Linked DNA regions of Macaca fascicularis. The protein of the gene in region 3 interacts with the protein of the main gene of each other region in a pairwise test. Links are inferred from orthologs where the notes say so. Each region holds a gene or a part of one and is shown on either strand. Other genes may lie near its edges.

The links.
Region 1: the proteins of PLSCR1 (region 3) and MVP interact in a two-hybrid assay, tested with the Homo sapiens proteins (2 studies listed by BioGRID and IntAct). The link is inferred for Macaca fascicularis from reciprocal best matches to the Homo sapiens genes PLSCR1 and MVP.
Region 2: the proteins of PLSCR1 (region 3) and RGS3 interact in binary tests that used the Homo sapiens proteins (3 or more experiments, as listed by UniProt). The two-hybrid records come from large-scale screens. The link is inferred for Macaca fascicularis from reciprocal best matches to the Homo sapiens genes PLSCR1 and RGS3.

The regions. Positions count from the first base shown.
Region 1 is NC_088394.1:28,264,080-28,267,729, reverse strand, and holds part of MVP (major vault protein), read left to right. Parts: coding exon 1-114; intron 115-3,394; coding exon 3,395-3,650. UniProt on the Homo sapiens protein: Required for normal vault structure. Vaults are multi-subunit structures that may act as scaffolds for proteins involved in signal transduction. Vaults may also play a role in nucleo-cytoplasmic transport.
Region 2 is NC_088389.1:44,526,751-44,530,400, forward strand, and holds part of RGS3 (regulator of G-protein signaling 3), read right to left. Parts: intron 2,724-3,650; exon of another isoform or gene 2,634-2,723; intron 1,418-2,633; coding exon 443-1,417; intron 1-442. UniProt on the Homo sapiens protein: Down-regulates signaling from heterotrimeric G-proteins by increasing the GTPase activity of the alpha subunits, thereby driving them into their inactive GDP-bound form.
Region 3 is NC_088376.1:49,353,542-49,357,291, reverse strand, and holds the start of PLSCR1 (phospholipid scramblase 1), read left to right. Parts: upstream 1-1,594; 5' UTR 1,595-1,735; intron 1,736-3,750. UniProt on the Homo sapiens protein: Catalyzes calcium-induced ATP-independent rapid bidirectional and non-specific movement of phospholipids (lipid scrambling or lipid flip-flop) between the inner and outer leaflet of the plasma membrane resulting in collapse of the phospholipid asymmetry which leads to phosphatidylserine externalization on the cell surface.

The DNA.
Region 1 (3,650 bases), on a different chromosome or scaffold from region 3:
GAGGTGCTGGGGGTTGTGCCCATCACCACCCTGGGCCCCCACAACTACTGTGTGATTCTCGACCCTGTCGGACCGGATGGCAAGAATCAGCTGGGGCAGAAGCGTGTGGTCAAGGTGAGGTCCCTACACCCCCCACAGAGGACTGTCCTGGGAGATGTATGCCCTCTAGTGGCAGGAGGCCCTCTGCCCTCTCTCCCTTCTCCTCCAGAGGCACGTTCTGGGAATACCTTCTGTGCCTTTACACGCTTAGTTCTTACACGCCTGAGACACTGGCCCATTTGGTTCCTGGCAGCCTCTAACTTACCCCTCAGACCTGAAGTTAATTCCCCTTCTGGGAAGGTCTCCTGGCTACCCTCTGCCTGAGACTCTGAAACTCTCTCTGATACAGTCATGTGCCACTTAATGTGGGGATACAGTCTGAGAAATGGTCCTTAGATGATTTTGTCTTTGTGCAAAAGAGTGCACTTATGCAAACCTAGATGGCACAGCCTACTATCACCTAAGCTAGATGGTGTAGCCTGCTCCTAGGCTGCCAACCTGTGCAGCATGTGACTGTCCTGAATACTGCAGGCAGCTGAACACAATGGTAAGTACTTACGTAGCTAGCCATAGAAAAGGTAAGAAAAACACAGTATGAAAGCTTCATTATCGGCCAGCAAGTGGCTCACGCCTGTAATCCCAGCACTTTGGGAGGCCAAGGCACGTGGATCACTTGGGGTCAAGAGTTCAAGACCAGCCTGGTCAACGTGGGGAAACCCTGTTTCTACTAAAAATACAAAAATTAGCCAGGTGTGGTTGTGGGTACCTGTAATTCCAGTTACTTGGGAGGCTGAGGCACAAGAATCACTTGAACCCCGGAGATCAAGCCTGCAGTGAGCCGAGATCGTGCCACTGCACTCCAACCTGGGCGACAGAGTGAGATTATCTCAAAAAAAAAAAGAGCTCCATTATAATCTTACGGGACCACCATGTGCAGTCTGTAGTGGACTGAACCATCACGCAGTGACTATACTTCACATCTTTTATATTCTGGTGTGCACTTTGCTTTGTCATCTTTCGTAAAACAAACCTCTTGGTTTACCCTCTCCCACCCCCTACCTCATCCCCTCTCTGAACTATATGTGGGAATACCAGGAGTTGCCAAACTCATTCTGTAAAGGGGGCTGGATGGTAGATATTCCGGGCTCTGTGAGTCATCGTTTCTGTGGAAGTTCTTCAACTCTGCTGTTATGTCAGGAAAGCAGCATGGGCAGTACGTAAACAAGTGAGTACTGCCATGTTTCTGGAATATTTTATTTGCAAAAACAGGAGGCAGAAAAAGTAGAAATAGGCCAGGCACGGTGGCTTACACCTGTAATCCCAGCACTTTGTGAGCCCAATGCGGGTGGATCACTTGAGATCAGGAGTTGGAAACCATCCTGGCCAACATGGCGAAACCCCTTCTGTACTAAAAATACAAAAAACAATTAGCTGGGCATGGTGTCAGGCACCTGTAAACCCAGCTTCTCTGGAGGCTGAGGCAGGAAAATCGCTTGAACCCGGGAGGCGGAGGTTGCAGTGAGCTGAGATAGCACCACTGCCCTCCAGCCTGGGTGACAGAGAAAGACTGTCTCAAAAAAAAAAAAAAAAAAAAGTAGAAATAACCCAAATGTACATATTTAATGAATGGATAAAAAATTGTAGCATATTCATACAATGGAATATCATTCAGCCATAAGAAAGAAATGGCAGGCTAGGCGCAGCAGCTCGTGACTATAATCCCAGTGCTTTGGGAGGCCAAAGTGGGAGGATTGCTTGAAGCCAGGAGTTCGAGACCAGCCTGGGTAACATAGTGAGACCCCATTTTTACAAAAACTTTAAAAAATTGGCGAGGCACGGTGGCACACCTGTAGTCCCAGGTACTTGGGAGGCTAAAGTGGGAAAATCGCTTGATCCCAGGAAGTGGAGGCTATAGTGAGCTAGGATTGTGCCACTGTACTTCAGCCTGAGGCAATAGAATGAGATCCTGTCTCTAGGAAAAAAGAAAAGAAAAGAAAGAAATGACATACTTATAGGTGATACAACATGGATAAAATTGAAAACGTTATGCTAAGTGAAAGAAGCCGGCCGGATGCGGTGGCTCACGCCTGTAATCCTAACACTTTAGGAGGCTGAGGCAGGCATATCACCTGAGGTCAGGAGTTCAAGACCAGCCTGGCCAACATGGTGAAACACCATCTCTGCTAAAACACAAAAATTAGCTGGGCATGATGGCGGGTGCCTGTAGTCCCAGCTACTGCTCGGGAGGCTGAGACGGGAGGATCCCTTGAACCCGGGAGACAGTTGTTGCGGTGAGCTAAGATCCCACCACTGCACTCCAGCCTGGGCTGCTGAGCGAGACTCCATCTCAAAAAAAAAAAAAAAAAAAAAAGCCAGACATGAAAGACCACATATTGACATATTGCATGATTCCATTTATATGAAATGTCCAGAATAGGTAAACACATAAAATAGACTAGTGATGGGTGGGGTGGGTGGGGAGTAGAAGTAACTTCTAGGTACAGGATTTCTTTTCAGGGTGATGATGAAAATATTCTAGACTTAACATAGTAGTGATGGTTGGACAACTCTGAGTATACTAAAACAACTGAATTGTGAATTGTATACTCTAGGTGGGAAAATTTCATATGTGGATTATATCTCAATAAAATTAAAAAAAAAAAAAAAAAACAGGCAGTGCTGGGCATGATGGCCCACGTTTATAATCCCAGCACTTCGGGAAGTTGAGGTGGGCAGATCGCTTGAGTCCAGGACTTTGAGACCAGCCTAGGCAACATGGCAAAACCCCATCATCTACGAAGCACACAAAAATTAGCTGGGTGTGGTGACGCGCATCTGTAGTCCCAGCTCTTTGGGAGGCTGTGCTGGAAGGATTGCTCGAGCCTGGAAGGTTGAGGCTGCAGAGAGCTGAGATCATGCCACTGCACTCCAGCCTGGCCAATAGAGCAAGACTGTCTCAAAAAAAAAAAAAAAAAAAAAAAAAGGCAGAATCCAGATTTGGCCTGAAAACCAGAGTTTGTTGAGCCCTAGGTTACACCATCTCTAGAAAACAAAGCCTGGGAGAAAGAAGAAAAAACAGGTTGATTTTTTTAATGGTTTAGCGTGCGTGGATCCAGGTTCTGACAGTTTATGGAATCTTTCAAGGACACGTTTGAGCAGATGAGATTCGGCAGACGTTTGTGTAGAGCCTCACAGTCCAGACGGTGCCTCACTGTATTATGATGTGGGGGTGGTGGCGGGCTTCTGGGGCTCCTGTCCTCCACACAGGCCTGAGACAGCGCGGGGCTGGGGAGGTGCCATCGGAGGCACCCGCAACCCTAAAGGCCCTGCCCCTAACCGCACGTCTCCCCACTAGGGAGAGAAGTCTTTCTTCCTCCAGCCGGGAGAGCAGCTGGAACAAGGCATCCAGGATGTATACGTGCTGTCGGAGCAGCAAGGGCTGCTGCTGAGGGCCCTGCAGCCCCTGGAGGAGGGGGAGGATGAAGAGAAGGTCTCACACCAGGCTGGGGACCACTGGCTCATCCGTGGACCCCTGGAGTATGTGCCATCTGCCAAGGTGGAGGTGGTGGAGGAGCGCCAGGCCATCCCTCTAGATGAGAACGAGGGCATCT
Region 2 (3,650 bases), on a different chromosome or scaffold from region 3:
CCGTTGTGAGAGTTAATGAGTTAATGTAAACTGCTTAGGATAATGCGGATATGGAATAAATGTGTGTTGTCGTTGTGACTGGCTGATGGATTTCTAGCCTGGCTAAGCTGTAACTCTATTTCTCCAGCTACTACCTCAGATCTTTTAAATCCAAATACACAATGGCCTGGGCTAAGCTACACCTGTTCTGCTTTCTGTGGGGACCAGTGGAGCTATAAGAACACAGCATCTAGAGTCCTAAAGTCATGGGTTTAAGTCCAGGCTCTGCCTTCTTGGTCCCATTGGGCCTCAGTTTTACCTTTTGTCCAACAGGTGGAAGGTTCGCTGGGAGGCTGCTGGGACAGTGGGGGTGGAACACGGTGACTGCTCATTCCCTGCAGCCCCTGGGCCAGCCCTCCCCACATTGCATGTATCCTTCTCCCTCCCCGTTTAGCTTTCTCACCTTCCTATGTCCCGTGAAGAAGAGGGAAAGGTGGTGCATGGAGCCACCATTGCGGCCCAGCTCTTTCTTGAGGGTGCTGGGCGAAGGCATGCCCCAGGTGGAGGCGGCGCCCTCACCATCTGAGCAGTGCAAGGTGGTGTCGGAGGCGAAGCAGGGCCCTCGGGGTTCCTGCAGCAGGCTGCCCTCGCTGTGCGTCCGGCGCCGCAGCGAGTTCTGCACACGCAGTGAGAGGCCACCCTCGGCCCCCTGGCCCGTCTCGATCATGCTGCTGCGCTTGGCCTCACTGCGCTCTCCATAGTTGTCATCGCTGGTGTCCTCATCCTCGTCCTCCTCCCCTTCCTCCCCTTCCTCCCCCTCCTCGGCCTCTTCCTCCTCCTCATCTCCTGAGCAGCCCCGCTCTGCCCCTGCCTTCTGGCTGTAAGTGCTATCCAGCCGGACCTCGGGGATCACGAAGGCTGGTCTGGAGGCCGCAGGTTGGTCCCCGGTGGTTGCTAGTGGGTCCCCAGAGCTCATGGTGCCCTCAGTAAGGGCCTTGGCCGGCAGGGAGACCTGGCTAGGAGGCAGATCTTGACAGGGTGGAAGGTCCTGGGTGGGGGGTTCCTGGACGGCAGGGAGGTCTTTGGTGAGTAGAGGGTCCTGGTGAGGCAGGGGTTCTTGACCAGCAGGCAGGTCCTGGCAGGGTGAGAGGTCTTGGGCTGGAGGGGGTTCCTGGCATGGTGGTGCATCCTTGCTGGGTGGGGCGTCTGGGCCTGGAGGGGATTCTTCACAGGTAGCTGAGTCTTTGCTGGACAGTGGTTCTTGGCTGGAAGTGGGTTCCTGCCCAGAAGGGGAGTCCTTGTTGGGTAGAAGGTCTTGTCCTGGAGGAAGCTCCTGGCCAGGAGAGGGCTCCTTGCTGGGTGGGGAATCCTCGGCACCAGGCCCCTTCCCTTCCTCCAAAGACATCTCCGTCTTCTCATCTGCCTCCGTCTCAAACATCTGGGAAACAAAAAGAAAACAAAAACGGTTCAGAAGAGGAGGCTCCAAGATGCCAGACACCATGCATGAGCTGACATGAAATCAGGCAGTACCCTGAATCCCGGCCCCCCAGTCTGAAAGCTGAGGTGCCAGATGGAACCCCAAAAGCCCCTTTGACTTAGCTGTGTAACAATTCTCACCCTGTCTTCTTGCTTGAACTTTCTGCTTCATCAAAAACACAGCTGGTCATTTACAGGAGAAGAGGGAGAGGTAACCACTGTCTATCTAGCTCCTGCCTTGGCAGTTGCCAGGGCAGCTTGACCCCACTCTCTCATATGGCCTTCCCAACAACCTTATAAAAGAAGCATCACTGTCTCCATTTTACAGAAAAGGAAACAGGGTCAAAGTCGCCTCTGGGGATAAAGGAGAACAGGCAGTTTCTGCTCATGGACCAGAACCAAGTCAAGCCCCAAACCCGGGGCAGTCACTGAACCCAGCCCAGGGTGTCTCCTACCTGAACTGAAGTTTAAAAAATCCTAATGAGTCATTCAAACAGGAATATGCTCTGAACGCTTAAGTATCTTTTTGAAACTAGTAAACTGGAATGAAACCGGAACTTTAAAATATTGTCCACACCTGGACTCACCAGATGTCACAGAAACATGGAACCTCCCTGAGGAATCACCCACCCAGGGATTTTTAAACTGCTTGGAGGAACCTCAAGGATTCCTCAAAAAACACAGCATCTCCTGCCTCACACACAACCCTCGGGATCCCAGGGGGTTTTGCTGAGTCTCGCCAGTAGATTTCATGCACAAAGAGAAGAATGTTTCTCTTGATGAAAGTCTGAATAGCAGCTATGTCACCAGAAGATTGGGGCCCTGAGAAAGTCAGGAGTGTCCATGGTGCCACAACCACACAGGGAGGCAGTTCTCAAGCCTGGGCTGGGCCCCTCCCACTCAAGGTCCAGGAATGCGGGAGGTGGAACTATTTAGAGCCCAGGTTCTGTCCTTCAAGAAGCCATAGCTGCTGAGAACAAATGAAAGAGAAATACCCCACTTGTACTCAGGAACTGAACAGATGCTTGGGAGTGTGTGCACATGCGGGCACATGTGCACACTGGCAGAAAACTTCAGAGGTAAGTACCCCCAGAACGTGGGTTAAGAGCTCTCATTGTAGAAATTATTAATGTCCATTTGATGGATGACAACACTGAGTCGAAAGGCCAGTGACTTACCCACTATTATACAGCTGCCCTGATACCCAACAGGCCATGCTCCAAGCTGAGAAGTCTTTGAAGCCCCGGGGCGTCTGTAATGGTGAAGCCCCACAGCTGGGAGTCAGTGATCAGCCATGGCTTGGGGCAGCTGCAGGCTGCTGCACACACGTGTCAGGGGTCACGCTGGCATCTGGGAGCACAGATGTGAGCGGATGTGAAAGCGCGGCACGGGTAAGAGCCACAGCCTGGGAGCGTGAAAGTGAAAGTGGAGCCCTGTAGAGCAGAGACGGTGGCTGGACAAGGGAGGGGAGGCCTTGGAGGACTCTAGCATGATCTGGCCAAGGTCAGGAAGGGCATGCCTTAGGCTGTGGCTCATAGGCCAAAGACAGGTACCTACTGATGCTGTGGCCTTGCCCTGGAAATCCTGCCTGCAGCTCAGAGGTGACTCCACACAAGGGCCCTCTCAGACCTTATAGTCTCAGACTCTGGAACAACAGCGATCCGAAATCCCCACTGCATAGACAGAAAGGCTGAGGCCCAGAGGAGCAAAGGGCAACCTAGAATCACACAGGGGTGTCAGGTAGAGCCAGTCACCAACCTTCAGGCCTCAAGGTGTCCACCTATGAAATGGGATAACCAGCGTGCCTGAGTAACAGATCAGGAGCATATGCTGGAAAAGGCAGAAAGCTCCTACAGGAGATGGTGGTGTTGGAGGTAGTGATTTAAAAAGCATTGATCTAGAGGGAAATTCTGAAGTTAAGGACCTTAACCAGTGGCACATGTTTCCCACGTACCCCAAACTCTGTCAAACACCAGAGTCAGTGTTGGCAATTGGAATGTCAGGGCCTCCAGTCCAGAATTCTCATCTGGAAACTAAGGGCTGTGCTTCAGTCCCATCAGGCTGTTCCCAGGTGGACAGAAAGACCCTCCATTGGGTAGACAGGAAGGCTGAGGGCCCAGTCTGGACAGTGACTTAGTGACTTGCCCAAAGCCACCCTGCACAAATCAGGGGCTAGGCTGGGGCCAGAAGGCCTA
Region 3 (3,750 bases):
TTGTACAGCTGCATCTGGTGGCAGGCTTTCAGTCAGAATCCAACACTTATTTTAGTCTGTGCATGGCTCACCCATTATTTTACCACTTCCATCCGCACCTCTTTCCCACACTGTGCACTTGTCTTAGTCACAGTTTTGCTAAGCCCACAAGCTAAGCCTAGCCTAGCCAAAGTGAGTGAAAAACAAACATTACTGGACAGCTTCTTTGAAAATGGGGAAAACCCAATGATGAGACAACAGAAGACTCTAAAACTGCTAAAAAAAATAAAGCCACATTTAAAGGAAAATGCCAAGAGTCCTACTTAAATTACAGGTTCACTGCAACAGGTGGTTCACATTCTCCAACCCTGCTTTGTATAATATGTGATGATCGACTATGCAATGAAGCCTCGAAACCTGCAAAACTGCTTTGCCACATGGAGACCAAGCACCCTGCGTTAAAAGACAAGCCTTTGGAGTTTTTGTTTTGTTTTGTTAAAACAAACAAACAAACAAACAAACAAACAAAAAAACAGAAACCATGAAAACATGAACACAAAGAACACATAGAAGCAATTATTGAAGGCCACCATGTCATCAAATGTGTCTGCACTGACAGCATCATTATATATTACAATGTAACAATAATAGAAATAAAGTGCACAATACATACAATATGTTTGAATCATCCTGAAACCGTCTGCCACTCGACCCTGGTCCATGGAAAAATCCTCTTCCGTGAAACTGGTCCCTGGTGCCAAAAAGGTTGGGGACCACCGGTTTATCCAGGGTCATCCAGGTTGGAGTAGGGTCAGGAGATATGGGGAAATTTAGGCCAAAGAATTCAAAGTTACAAACATGTAGGATGAACAAATGGGAAGACCTAATGTACAACATGAGGGCTATAGTTAATGATCGTGGTATTCAGGATTTATGCTAAATGAGTAAATTAGAGCTGCTCTTGCCCCAAGGGGGGAAATGTGTAATTATAGGAGTTGATGGATATGTCATACACATAACTTAAATACAGACAATAAAAACTATTTTAGTTTAAAAAGGAACAATATTTATTAAAAAATAAGGTGAGCTCTTAAAAACATTTAAATAACTGCCTAAAAAAATAAAAAATAATATCACATAATTTAATAGAAGGAAAGAAAGAGCAAGACAGCAAGAAAGAAAAGGCACCATAAAAAAAAACAATTTTGACCACTCCTCATTTGTAGTCTAAGCTGCCTCTGCTTCCTTGCGTTGAAAAGCCACGGGCTTCCGAGGGATGGAGGTCAAAGTCAGAGTAAAGAAAGTTCCCGGGGGAGGCCACTCCCCAGCTGATGACTTTCCAGTTCCAGTTAGTGACAGAGTCCCAGTTCCTCTCCTTAACCACCGGTCAAAAGTCTCTGGAGTCTCTCCAATGAGCAAGAAAGCAAGTCGGGGGTAGGGGAGGGGCCTCACACCTGGTGGTGGGTGCAGTCCCTCCTCCAGCTTCTTCATCCTGCAATAGTCCCGCGGGTCCCCCGGCGCGAACGCGGGAACCAGGAAAAGGAAACCGCGTTGTGTACGTAAGATCCAGGAAACGAAACCAGTAGCCGCGGCTGTTGGCGCAAGGGTTACTCGCAGACCCTGTTCCGGCTGATTTCCGAGAAGGTTGCGCAGTAGCCGTTCCTTGCAGTCTAGAGGCGCAGGAGAGGAAGCCACCGCCTGACCCCGGCTCTCTAGACCTCGGCTCTCTCGGGAGCGGAAACAGCGGCAGCCACAGGTGCGCGAGCGGCTTTCTCTGCCGCCTCCCCGGGGCTCGGGCGCGAGAACTGCGCGGAGCCTGCGCTGGGGCCAGGGCCGGGATCAGGTGTGGGGGCCAACTTACGGGGAACGGGCGCGAGGGCCAGCCGGTTGTGTTTGCTGCTCTGGGGGTGGAGGATGTGGGGTGAAGGCTGGGGCCAGAAATGCAAGAGACCTCTGAAAGGGACCCTGTAAGTGGAGCAGATGCACGGCAAGGGGCCCCAGGCGGCCCAGCGGCACCTGGGCTCACCCAGAATCATTCGAATGAAAAGGGGTGTCCTGCCTGAAAACGCCTCGCGGGGCTCAGCTTCCCCTTAGCTACACTGCTCTACAGGCAGAGAGCGGCGCTGAATCCTGGGCAGAGACTGGGCTCGGGAGCATGTGCCAGCATAGTGGGGCTATTAGAAGGGACGGTTAATACAGCCTGCAAGCTGGCATTTATCAGTAAGTATTCACTGAAGTCCGCCTGGAGCCCACATCTATGCTAAACCCTCTACAATACTAGCTTGGAAAAGATAGCGGCGGTATCTGGCACGGTTCCTAAGACCATTAGCTCCAGTCAGGCTCCCCGACTTTAAATTTGGCCTCTACTGCTTCACATCTGTGGATTGTCAGCCACTTTCTTAATATATATTCTTTCCATTGCCTCATCTCTGAAATTGTGTAACTATTAAAAGAGCTACAGAGTATTATATGTGTTAATGTAAAGTTCTTAGAGCAGTGCCTGGCACTACAGAAAGTACTCAGTGAAAGTGAGCTTTTATTATTTTAAATATTTGACAAAGTTCCTGCTTCTCCAAGCTGACTCTCCGGTTCCCATGTGGTTTCATTCATGCACTGTTATTCCTGGAAGTCTTGGCATGGCCACTTCCCAGTTCCAGGAACAGGCAGTCGTTGTTTTTTTTCTGGCTTATCACATTGAGATACATGGTTACTACAAGTGACACTTAAACGTGTCAGGCAGTTTGGGGCCTCCTTTCTTGAACTTTTCCTAAGAGCAAACTTTTCCCTTAATGCCACCCGGTTTACAACCATAGTAGGGCTTTGAACAACGAGAAAATGCAGGGAAATGAAAGACATATAAAGGGAAATGAATGGATTTCTGCAGTTGGATAGCAAAGTGGCATGTGAAATAGCTGGTTTATAGATCAAACTGCCTTTAGATCTGTAAAGGAGCTTAGAGTACAGGTGGAGAGACATCAAATGTGTGTGAGCAGACCCTTATGTACCTCTCCGTCTTCATCTCTAAGAATGTCTCCCTCTTCTGCTCTGTAACCTCACTGGTCTTCCTTTCCTTGAATGAGGCATGTTCCTCCAGCTCAGGAATTCTATCTATGAAGTTCCCTGTCTCTATAATGCCCTCCAACACCCCACCCACCATACCTCCGTAGACTAGTTGATTTGAGATTTCCTTCAGCTCCCAGTCTGACTTTTCTTAAACCCCCTACCACTGTTTAAGTTAGTGTCCTGTAACCCTTTCTTGTAGCAACATTAATTTTATTGATAGCACTTAGAGTGTTTATAATAATCTATTACATTCTTAATTGTCTGTCTCCCTAGTGTCTAGGTATTGTGCTCTAGTGCCTGGTATAGTGCTTTGCATGCTCTATGCCTTCAATTAATTCCTTAAAAACCACACCAGCTTTATATTTAGTGAATATTTATATAGGAAGTATTTCTATATGTATATATGTGTATCTGTGTATATACACACTCTATAGCACTACCCTGAATAGTGCTAAATTAAAAAGCCAAAACACTTTTTAGTTAATCAGAACAGTTGCACTCTTCAGTTTTCCATATGTTCTTTTAATAAGTCATTAGAAAAAAATGATGTCTCCATATGTTGTCTGCTGCTGTAGCAGAATACCTGAGACTTGGTAATTTATAAAGGACAGAAATTTATTTCTTACAGTTCTGGAGACTAGGAAGTCCAACATAATCATGTGTTACTTAAAGACAGGAATACATTCTGAGAAATGCATCATGAGGCAA